Saccharomyces cerevisiae S288C: one gene and its partners. Each later gene encodes a partner of the first gene's protein in a complex. Each region holds a gene or a part of one and is shown in the gene's direction. Other genes may lie near its edges. The genes, in order: POP5, POP3, RPP1 and POP8.

What was found.
Region 2: POP5 (region 1) and POP3 share a complex: the UniProt entries of both Saccharomyces cerevisiae proteins name them as parts of the nuclear RNase P and RNase MRP complex.
Region 3: POP5 (region 1) and RPP1 share a complex: the UniProt entries of both Saccharomyces cerevisiae proteins name them as parts of the nuclear RNase P and RNase MRP complex.
Region 4: POP5 (region 1) and POP8 share a complex: the UniProt entries of both Saccharomyces cerevisiae proteins name them as parts of the nuclear RNase P and RNase MRP complex.

Annotation. Positions count from the first base shown.
Region 1 is NC_001133.9:81,171-83,807, forward strand, and holds POP5 (RNA-binding protein POP5), read left to right. Parts: upstream 1-1,535; coding exon 1,536-2,057; downstream 2,058-2,637. Other genes in the region: FUN19 (Fun19p), read right to left, coding at 1-781; mRNA splicing protein PRP45, read right to left, coding at 2,165-2,637. UniProt on the Saccharomyces cerevisiae protein: Component of ribonuclease P, a protein complex that generates mature tRNA molecules by cleaving their 5'-ends. Also a component of RNase MRP, which cleaves pre-rRNA sequences.
Region 2 is NC_001146.8:106,109-108,808, forward strand, and holds POP3 (Pop3p), read left to right. Parts: upstream 1-1,578; coding exon 1,579-2,166; downstream 2,167-2,700. Other genes in the region: WSC2 (Wsc2p), read right to left, coding at 1-587; HCH1 (Hch1p), read left to right, coding at 2,359-2,700. UniProt on the Saccharomyces cerevisiae protein: Required for processing of 5.8S rRNA (short form) at site A3 and for 5'- and 3'-processing of pre-tRNA.
Region 3 is NC_001140.6:222,297-225,543, reverse strand, and holds RPP1 (RNA-binding RNA processing protein RPP1), read left to right. Parts: upstream 1-1,785; coding exon 1,786-2,667; downstream 2,668-3,247. Other genes in the region: ribosome-associated complex protein SSZ1, read left to right, coding at 1-19; 2-dehydropantoate 2-reductase PAN5, read left to right, coding at 375-1,514; GIC1 (Gic1p), read left to right, coding at 3,066-3,247. UniProt on the Saccharomyces cerevisiae protein: Component of ribonuclease P, a protein complex that generates mature tRNA molecules by cleaving their 5'-ends. Also a component of RNase MRP, which cleaves pre-rRNA sequences.
Region 4 is NC_001134.8:185,466-188,281, reverse strand, and holds POP8 (ribonuclease P), read left to right. Parts: upstream 1-1,807; coding exon 1,808-1,854; intron 1,855-1,929; coding exon 1,930-2,284; downstream 2,285-2,816. Other genes in the region: PEP1 (type I sorting receptor), read left to right, coding at 1-1,438; DNA-(apurinic or apyrimidinic site) lyase APN2, read right to left, coding at 2,367-2,816. UniProt on the Saccharomyces cerevisiae protein: Component of ribonuclease P, a protein complex that generates mature tRNA molecules by cleaving their 5'-ends. Also a component of RNase MRP, which cleaves pre-rRNA sequences.

The DNA of each region.
Region 1 (2,637 bases):
GTGGACTGGTAGTCATCGTTCTTCTTTGTGGTGAGTATACCTTGCGTTTCCGTGGTATCCATTCAGTGTCGGATTCAAACTTTCCTAGATTGTTATTGTAGAGAGCCTGTTTCCTCATATTATATCTTGCTTGTCTATTCAAATTCGGAGATGCTAACGGGGAAGGTAATCTAGAAGAAGAGGAAGGCAGAGGAGGAGGAGTCATATCATCATTGTATTTGGAATATTTATGTCTAGCATTATAGGCCAGATTGTTGTACCGGTTGATAATGTTCTTAGAATATGGTTGGGCCAAATTGCTGAAAATTTTGTATTGAGACAGAAACCCGTAGGTGGCGTAGCGGTACCTTTTTCTTGATAACCCATTGGGCCATACAGGCTTCACGAACAGCACATTCTCTACAGCGCCTTTAGGCGTAGATCCCACTAGCACTGAAGAGGCCATGCGGGGTGAGCCATTGTGGCTAATTTTCGACTCCAGCTTGGGCGACAAAGGTGGCGATGGTATTATATGTTCATCAACCAAGGAGTCAATGCTGCCAGAAAAGCATCCATTGCCATTATTTTGTGAGTTCTGGTTAATTCTTACGTCGTACGAGCGCCCATAGGGTGAATTATTGCTATAATCACTCATGTTTAAACCGTTTTTATTACTATCGTTATTGTTGTTACTTGCTTTCAAATTCTGATTCAGACGTCTGAAAATGGACTGCGAATCATCCTTACCAATGTAATTCATATTTAATTGAGACTTTTCAGATTCAGGAGAATATAATCCCATGTTTCCCCTATAAATGTTACGATGCGCGAATATCCTGTTTATCGATGCCCAGTGTATGAGCCATAACGGGGATGTTATGAACCATGTGGCTACTTTTATAAGCGGTTCTCTTAGGAAGAAGGGGGTTCTTGATAGACCCCTGCACCTCATCTAGCGGAGGTGCACGGATGTACCAACAGTTTTAGTGAACATTATTCACTAAAGAAGCATTGGGCATACTCAGAGCCAATGGCAAGCTCGTTTACCAGTTCAAATATGTCGTTTCATTATCTGTATGACTGTCGTAACTTTGAATCGATCTAATGTGTTGACCCTGTCTCAGGCTCACCCATGGCGGCGCCTGCACCTGTGGGTGAAGGAAGAAAGACGATGTTTGTGAGGGAACTGAATTGGGTTGAAGTTCATATCCTAAACAAACACTTCACCAGCCATGGATGCATGCCTTGTCTTTTCGCAGTTGGTGGCATGAAAATATATATCACCCACCAAACCCTCTTACTCTTTTCTTACCAAGTAACTCCAGTAAGTGCTCGTTTTTTTCTTCTTCCATTCAAACCTGCTTAAAAACCTCGACAAACGAGCCCCCAACGTACTACCACAGCAACCACTCTGGTTTTTCTATCTTGTTGTCTTTAATTGCCTCCTGACTTTGTTTTGTTTTGTTCTTGCTTAGCGCTCTTGAAAAATATTTTACTTTTCACTATCAGATTAATGTGATAGCAATAGTTAGTGCAACAAAGAAACAAGTCGATAAATGGTACGTTTAAAAAGTAGATATATCCTTTTTGAAATTATATTCCCACCTACAGACACCAACGTTGAGGAATCTGTGTCGAAAGCAGACATCTTGCTTTCGCATCACAGAGCATCGCCTGCGGATGTGTCCATAAAGTCGATACTCCAAGAGATACGACGCTCGCTGTCGTTGAATCTGGGCGACTATGGGTCTGCAAAATGTAACTCTCTCTTGCAGTTGAAATACTTTTCAAATAAGACGTCTACGGGGATAATCCGATGCCATCGAGAGGATTGCGACCTTGTTATCATGGCATTGATGTTGATGTCGAAAATTGGCGACGTCGATGGACTGATCGTGAACCCCGTCAAGGTAAGTGGGACCATCAAGAAAATAGAGCAGTTTGCTATGAGAAGGAATTCTAAAATTCTGAACATAATCAAGTGTAGTCAATCATCACACCTCAGCGATAATGACTTTATTATCAATGATTTCAAGAAAATTGGAAGGGAAAACGAAAACGAAAACGAGGACGATTAGAATATATTAATATATAGATGTACACGTATATGCAGTAGTTTTATTTTTTTATCTATAATACAACTCAAGCACAAGAATGCTTTGTTTTCCTAGTGCTCATCCTGGGCCTAGGCGCCATAGTTATCCGATTTATCATCGGATTCAGCTTTAGTAAACTGAATGGGGCCGTGAGAACCACTGGCACCTTCACTCTTAACATTGACCGCTTCGTCCAGCTTTTCGTAGTTGGTCTTGTATATGCTTTCAATATCTTGTTGGACGAACAGTGGGTTGTCATAAACCTGGTCTTCATGCCTTTTGGCGGAGGCATTTGCCCCTCTTGTGAAAAATCTTGAATCGTACTGCAGATCCGGTTGTTCTGAACGCTTTGCTGCGCCCAGAATTATCTTTTCGGATACGTCTCTTCCTTGAGAGTACGCCAGCTCTTTTAGTCTGGCCACTGTGCTCGTTTGCTTTTTGGGCTTAACTATTGCTCCCGTCTGCGGAGTCCCGTTGTGGTATCTGGCTCGTTGGCTCAATTCTTTCAATTTAGATTCTTTAGCAAGCATTTCCTGTTCCATAGCAAGCCGCTTCAATTCCA
Region 2 (2,700 bases), on another chromosome or scaffold:
GTAGTAGACGTAGAAGAGGAAGAGGATGAAGAAGAGGAGGAAGTAGTTGTCTCTGAAGAGGAAGTGGTAGTGGAGGTTGTAGACGAGGAAGAGGATGAGTGCGTAGCAGAAGAACTAGTTGAAGTTTTCGTGTCCAATTTCGTGGACGTTTTTGAACTAACACTTGTGCTTGATGAAGATGTTGTCGATGTTGAGGTAGCAGTAGATGAAGTTGAGTCCGCGGTAGAAGCAGCGTTATTGATATAAACGTTCATGGCAGAAGAACCACCACAATTTTGGTAGGGCCAGCCAGCACACGAAACATCACATTTGCTCGAATCTACCTGCGTCAAAGACTGTAACTGAGCTACGGAACCACCACAGTAGCAACCTGTACCGTTGAAAAGAGCAACGACAGCCTGACCAGGGCATTCATTTTGACAGTAGGAAACTGATTGATACTCGTAAACACCCTTGTAAGTCAACCCCAATTTTCGTATATCACTAGCTGAATAGCAAGCTTTATATGTGAATTGGTCAGCCAACGCGGCTCGTATATATATGAGCCACACTAAGATGAAGGACTTGTGTATGAGATCTAGGTGCATATTCCACTTCTATAATGCTGTTGGTCAAAAAGAAATTCAAAGAAGAAACAATTAGAAACCAGAAAGTCTGTAAAAATACAAAAAAGCGTGTCCTATAACCGAACAGCAATGTTTGTTTTCACTAGATTTGTTTTCTTTTGGCGAAAAACGAAGGTAGAAATGAAAGTAAAAAAAGAGCAATAATGGTAAATCAAAGGCTAGCCACGCTTTGAGCTATAGTTGGTCGTGCTGAGCAATAGTAAAGAATTGAAAAAGCGAGTGGATGATTTGAAAACTGCTTATATGTTTTACGTTGAGGGTTTCTCCTCTTTATTTCTTCGAAGGACGGAGGACAGGTATAAAGCAGTCGCTGGAACTCTTTTCCCTGACAATCTTAAAAAGAAAGACCGAAACAGAGTGTTATAAAACGAAACAAAAAACCTGCTGTAAATGCACTTCTGGGAGAAGTGCTAGATCACAACATACAAACATATGCAAATTCATAGTAAAAGGAGATAGGGCCCAGATGACCAAATCAAGAATGGCTCACTGTTGAAACATTCTGCTTAATGTCGAAACAGTCCGTAAACAAACACATTCCCACAAAACACCGCACCGCGAAAAAAAAAAAAAACAGGAAAAAACGCGAAATGTCCGTAACTTTACCCGGTAATAGTCACGTGATAAAGGTGCATTGGTCTAGCTGGCTGTTCTGGCCAACGCGACAGCAGGGTTCATACTTTCAGTAGAACAAAAATCGGGGGAAATGCGATGCACTCTTTAACTGCAATTATGCACATCCTATTGCCAGGGCGGATATTTGATGTTGTTCTCAGATATGTATTCCCTGATCTATACCGTTCTCATAGTTCAATTTTCTCTGATTTTCTCGTGCGGGCAATAAGTAAAAAATAGCATTTGCGTGCTTAAGTGAAATTTTTCAGATTATGAGTGATATAGAGATGAGGACTGTAACAAGAAGGAAGGTGAGGAAATCAAGACGGTAAGTAGCATGTCCGGGTCGTTAAAATCTCTAGACAAGAAAATAGCTAAAAGAAGGCAGGTGTATAAGCCCGTGCTAGACAATCCGTTCACAAACGAAGCACATATGTGGCCGCGCGTGCATGATCAGCCATTGATTTGGCAGCTGCTGCAATCCTCTATCATAAATAAGTTGATTCACATTCAATCGAAGGAGAACTACCCTTGGGAGCTGTATACAGATTTCAATGAAATTGTGCAGTATTTGAGCGGCGCTCACGGAAACAGCGACCCAGTATGTCTATTTGTGTGCAATAAGGACCCTGATGTACCGCTTGTGCTCTTGCAGCAAATCCCGCTATTATGCTATATGGCGCCCATGACGGTTAAACTGGTGCAGTTGCCCAAGAGTGCCATGGATACCTTCAAGTCGGTTTCTAAATATGGAATGCTGCTGCTGCGGTGCGACGATAGGGTCGACAAGAAATTCGTATCGCAGATCCAGAAGAACGTTGATCTGCTTCAGTTTCCCTGGTTAAATGCTATCAAGTATCGGCCCACATCTGTCAAGCTGTTGAAAACTACAGTGCCAATTGTCTCGAAGAAGAGGCAAAAGTAGACAAAATTACCCGCGCAGGCCTATTTTTCTAGAAGACAGAAGAAAAAAGTGGGCAGAGAAAGCGAGGAAAAAAAGAAATACATATGAAGAAGAAAAAAGCTGAAATTTAAGCAAATACTTTTTGGACAAAATCATCAAACTACTACTAAAGTTTGAAACGATCGGAAAGTTACAACACATTTACGATAAAATATGGTTGTCTTGAATCCAAATAACTGGCATTGGGTGGATAAAAACACCTTACCTTGGTCTAAGGACTACTTGAACGGTAAATTAACGAGTTTGTCCACTGTTTCCTCTGATGGGAAGAGCAAAATTGAGTTAACCCAGGTGAGTAGCATCACCGGTGACTCCAACGTATCTCAAAGGAAGGGCAAGCCGATTTGCTACTTTGACTTACAGTTGTCGATGAACGTCAAAGTGACAAATTTGGATACTAATAAGGACGACGAGGATGATGACGGCATACTTGCGGACGGGAAACTAGAAATTCCAGAGTTTATGCATGACGAGTCTGATATTCCGATTTTGTCG
Region 3 (3,247 bases), on another chromosome or scaffold:
TGTAAAGGGTGAATTATAGAGCGCTCTAAGAAAAACGGTATGTATACGTATATAGAAAAATACATACATGATGGAACTATACAGCCCTTGAAAAAAGAACATATAAAATTAAGTCAAAAAATGCTATAGCAAGGTTATTATGGTTAGGTTTGTGACTTTCTGTTGAGTCACGTTCTATTCAAATTCATATTTCATGTTTCCGATTTCTTTTTTTTATAGATTGGCGGCCGCTAACGGTTTCTCGAGAAAGGCTTATCGTGCCATTCAGCTTAATACAAATATATTAAAAAAACAAGATACTTTATACTCACCTTTGTATGTTACGATCGATAGGAGAAATCGATAATATACGTATACGATAAAGTCTGTACAATATGACTGCACCACACAGAAGTACTATTCATATTCTTGGGTTGGGTGCCATGGGTACCGTTTTGGCAGTTGACCTTTTAAGATTTACCAATGCCCTAGTTGTGCCCTTATTTAGATCACAAGAAAGACTTGCACAATTTCAGAAGACAAATGGGAACAACATTTCGATTCGCAAACTTTATTTGGAAGGCTCGCCAATATTTTCTTATCCAGTGGAGAAATGCGAATGCCCTGAAACTTTCTCTAAAAAACCTATTGACAACTTAGTCGTCACTACAAAGACTTACCAAACCAAAGAAGCACTAGCTCCTTATTTGCCTTATATTAATAAAAATACAAACTTAATTTTGATTCAGAATGGACTGGGCGTTTTAGAACTATTGAGAGAAGAAATCTTTACAGATTCAAAAAACAGACCACATTTATTTCAGGGTGTCATTTCTCATGGCGTTTATCAGGATAAAGCAGGAGTTTTCAATCATGCTGGGTGGGCTGGTATGAAAATTGCCAAATTGCCTTGGACTGAGGAAGAAATGATTCAAAAAAAATCCGTAGTCGAGGACGATGCAGCCAATAACTCATTAGTAAAATTATTAACAGAACCAAAATTTGCCAAGGAATTTGGAATAGAACATTCCACTTATCAAGAAATGCTCTTTGGTCAATTATTTAAATTTTTGGTTAATGCATGCATGAATCCAGTTACGGCTATTCTAGATTGTGTCAATGGTGAGATGAAGGCCAGTTGCGGTCCAGTTTTCACATCTATTATTGACGAGTGTTTACAAATATTGAGAGTTGCTTATAGGCCATTGTTTCAATACCACGAAAAATACAGCGGTAATGAAGAATACCCAGAAATGGATGTCAATGCAGTACTGACAACCGATAACATGGTCTCCGAAGTCACTAGAATTGGCTGTGACATCAATTCTAGGAACAGTAGTTCAATGAGACAAGACACTTTGTTCTTAAGAGACATTGAAATTGAGTATATCAATGGCTATGTCGTCAAATTGGCTGATAACTTAAATCTAGACCCAAACTGCTGCAAGGTTAATAAAACTATCGGAGAATTGGCCACTATGAGATTAGCATTGAACAGGTCGAGAAGTATCAATGGTGACTGGAGAAAGGACTGAAAATGCGCGGATATCAGCCAGAACATATACATTTATAAATACTGATATATATACACTCTTAATGCTTTATTCGAGCGAACCTTAACAGTCTGAAGGCAGATTAATTTGTCAAGTGCCTCTCTTTTGTTACTACTACCAGAAAACATGAAAAATGTATGTGCGATGCCCAGAATTTTACCTCGCATAAATGAAAAAATTTCATTTTACCAGTAGAAAATACTTAACCTAAACAGACACAAAAAACAAAAGTGAAAGCATTATAGAACCGAGAATGCTGGTAGATTTGAATGTACCGTGGCCACAGAACAGCTATGCAGACAAAGTTACTTCTCAGGCGGTCAACAATTTAATAAAAACGTTATCCACATTGCATATGTTGGGATATACACACATCGCCATAAATTTTACAGTAAACCACAGCGAGAAATTCCCCAACGATGTTAAGCTGTTAAATCCTATCGATATCAAGAGAAGGTTTGGAGAATTGATGGATCGAACAGGGCTAAAATTATACAGCAGGATCACGCTAATTATCGACGATCCATCGAAGGGACAGTCTCTTTCCAAGATAAGCCAGGCCTTTGATATTGTAGCAGCATTGCCAATCAGTGAAAAGGGCCTTACTTTATCAACTACCAATCTGGATATTGACTTGTTGACCTTTCAGTACGGGTCGCGCCTGCCTACTTTCCTTAAGCATAAAAGCATATGCAGCTGTGTGAACAGAGGAGTAAAACTTGAAATTGTTTATGGCTATGCTTTGCGTGACGTACAAGCTCGGAGGCAGTTCGTATCCAATGTAAGAAGCGTCATCAGGAGTTCGAGGTCCAGAGGCATTGTTATCGGCAGTGGTGCCATGTCACCACTTGAGTGCCGCAACATATTAGGAGTAACAAGTCTAATCAAGAATTTAGGTCTTCCGAGCGATAGGTGTTCGAAGGCCATGGGAGACCTAGCTTCACTCGTCCTCCTAAATGGCCGCTTAAGGAATAAGAGCCACAAACAGACCATTGTTACCGGTGGTGGTAGCGGAAACGGCGATGACGTGGTCAACGATGTTCAAGGCATCGACGACGTCCAGACCATCAAGGTAGTGAAAAGGAGTATGGATGCTGAACAATTAGGCCATGCTTCCAAAAGACACAAGCCTTAAAACGATACGCTAACCTATAACATATAATGTATAAATGATAATTAAATACGTACCCGGGTAGTAGACATCGCTATTATCATCACAATCCACGAATCGCGACGCGAATTCGCGAAAAGACAACAACAATAAAGGAAAAAAAAAACAAAGAAATTTTTCGACGATTTCCATAGAGAAGGAAAACAACGAATAGACAAAAAAATTTGGGGATCCAAGGCATATTCTGTTACATTGTACCTGTAGGATTTACTGAGAGCTGAAACCATTGAAAACTATTCTGCAATTAATTATCTTCGTACGGACTATCACTACTTTTTTTTAAGAAAGACTTATTTCTATTGTTTATTGTTTATAATTCACTCTGAATACTCGCTTATTAATTGTGTGATAAATTCTAAAGGATGACTGAAGGAAAGAGGCTGCAACAGATGGAGCTTCCTCAAATGAAATCCATTTGGATTGACGAGGATCAGGAAATGGAAAAATTGTATGGATTCCAAGTAAGGCAACGATTCATGAATGGACCTAGTACGGATTCCGATGAAGACGCCGACGAAGATTTAGGAATTGTTCTCGTTGACAG
Region 4 (2,816 bases), on another chromosome or scaffold:
CTTACATGGCTATACTGAACGTAAGGATATTAGAGATACATATTCTTCCGGTTCTGCATTAGGAATGATGTTCGGCGTTGGCAACGTTGGTCCTAACCTTTTACCATATAAAGAATGTTCCACCTTCTTCACCACCGATGGTGGCGAAACGTGGGCTGAAGTTAAGAAGACTCCTCACCAATGGGAATACGGTGACCACGGTGGGATTTTAGTTTTAGTTCCTGAAAACTCAGAAACTGATTCTATTTCCTATTCTACCGATTTTGGTAAAACATGGAAAGATTATAAATTCTGCGCTGATAAGGTTTTAGTAAAGGATATAACCACTGTTCCCAGGGATTCTGCTTTGAGATTTTTGCTGTTTGGAGAGGCAGCAGATATTGGAGGCAGCTCATTTAGAACGTACACAATTGATTTTAGAAACATCTTCGAAAGACAATGTGATTTCGACATCACTGGTAAGGAAAGCGCAGATTATAAATACTCTCCTCTGGGTTCCAAAAGCAATTGCCTATTTGGTCACCAAACCGAGTTTTTACGTAAAACCGATGAAAATTGTTTTATTGGGAATATTCCACTTTCTGAATTTTCAAGAAATATCAAAAACTGTTCTTGTACAAGACAAGATTTCGAGTGTGATTACAACTTTTACAAAGCTAACGATGGTACTTGTAAATTAGTCAAAGGACTAAGCCCAGCAAATGCTGCAGACGTTTGTAAAAAAGAGCCAGATTTAATCGAATATTTTGAATCGTCAGGCTACAGAAAGATCCCTCTATCAACCTGTGAGGGTGGCCTGAAATTGGATGCTCCCTCATCACCACATGCTTGCCCAGGAAAAGAAAAAGAATTCAAGGAAAAGTACTCAGTAAGTGCCGGTCCCTTTGCATTTATTTTCATTTCAATTCTTTTAATAATTTTCTTTGCCGCATGGTTTGTATATGACAGAGGTATCAGAAGAAATGGGGGATTTGCAAGGTTTGGAGAAATTAGGCTAGGTGACGATGGTTTAATAGAAAACAATAATACTGACAGAGTTGTCAATAACATTGTGAAATCAGGATTTTACGTTTTCTCAAATATCGGGTCTCTTTTACAGCACACAAAAACTAATATAGCGCATGCTATCTCCAAAATTAGAGGAAGGTTTGGAAACAGAACAGGTCCAAGCTACTCATCCCTGATCCATGATCAATTTTTGGATGAAGCAGATGACCTGCTTGCTGGCCACGATGAAGACGCCAATGACTTATCCAGTTTCATGGATCAGGGTAGTAATTTTGAAATCGAAGAAGATGATGTTCCAACACTTGAAGAAGAGCATACATCATATACAGATCAACCTACGACCACCGATGTTCCAGATACATTACCAGAAGGAAATGAGGAAAACATCGACAGGCCTGATTCTACAGCGCCATCTAACGAAAACCAGTAGAGAGATTACTTTACATAGAGTAGATAATTCCATATACTTTTCATAAACAAAAACGAGCAGATCCTTTAGACAGAATATCAAGTTCTTTCACAAGCCAAAGAAACTTGGCATGATCAGTACTGGTGCAATTCAAATAACTGCAAGTACTGAATCTCCATCTTCAAAGCAGAACCGTAATAATGCGTACAAGGAAGCGGGTGGGATATATCATATGTTACGGGAAAGTGGTTGTTTGACTGAAGATCATCGAGAACGTCATAACTTCAATACATAAGTCATCGCGTAATTTTACAAGCTTTACTGTTCAGCTTTATAGGATAATCAGAATAAGAAAAGGCAGATAAATAGTTTGATAAATGGCCAGTTGTGATGGGGAAAAAGACTTTTAGAGAATGGCAATATTTCAAGTTATCAATGTATGTATATTTTTGACTTTTTGAGTCTCAACTACCGAAGAGAAATAAACTACTAACGTACTTTAATATTTATAGTACTTCATTCGATCAAGATGTGGACGATGCACATGCTATTGATCAAATGACATGGAGGCAATGGTTAAATAACGCATTGAAACGTAGTTATGGTATTTTTGGTGAAGGTGTAGAATATTCATTCCTGCATGTTGACGATAAGCTGGCTTACATCAGAGTAAATCATGCGGATAAAGATACATTTTCTTCGTCCATCAGTACATACATATCTACTGATGAACTCGTCGGTTCACCATTAACAGTGTCAATTCTACAAGAATCTTCCAGTTTGAGACTTCTGGAGGTTACTGACGATGACCGCCTATGGCTGAAAAAAGTAATGGAAGAAGAAGAACAAGACTGTAAATGTATATAGAATATCAGTTTATTATTTAAAAAAACTTGGGCATAGAAGAAAGTGTTTTATTCTCCCAAAATATCAGCTGACGTTTTCATATTTAAACCCACTGAAAAAACCCACAAGATGATTCTGTATTATTTGAATCACCCCGAGATCTCTTGCAAATCCAGAACTTTCTACCTGGATTGGCCGAAGTTTTCGATGTTTTCAGCATGGATTCCTCCCCATGCCTGCACAGGGGAGGCTTTCCAAAGACATCCTTGAAATTCAACTTTGGCGTGGAGATTCTTTTTTTAGCTTGCTGTGGAATTTCAGAGGATTCTTTAATCCTGTCATCTTTTTCTCCATTTACCTTCTGGAAAAATGAGTCGAGCGATTTGTTTTTGATGTTGCTGTTTTTTTTGGTATTCATGACTTTTGATACACAATATTTTTGTTTATTAGATTCTTTATTCGTATCCTTTTTGGCAAACATCTCTAAAACATTATGGTTTCTTAAATTATATTTGTACCTTGCTTCGAATTTTGGTATGGGAACTTGTGTCGT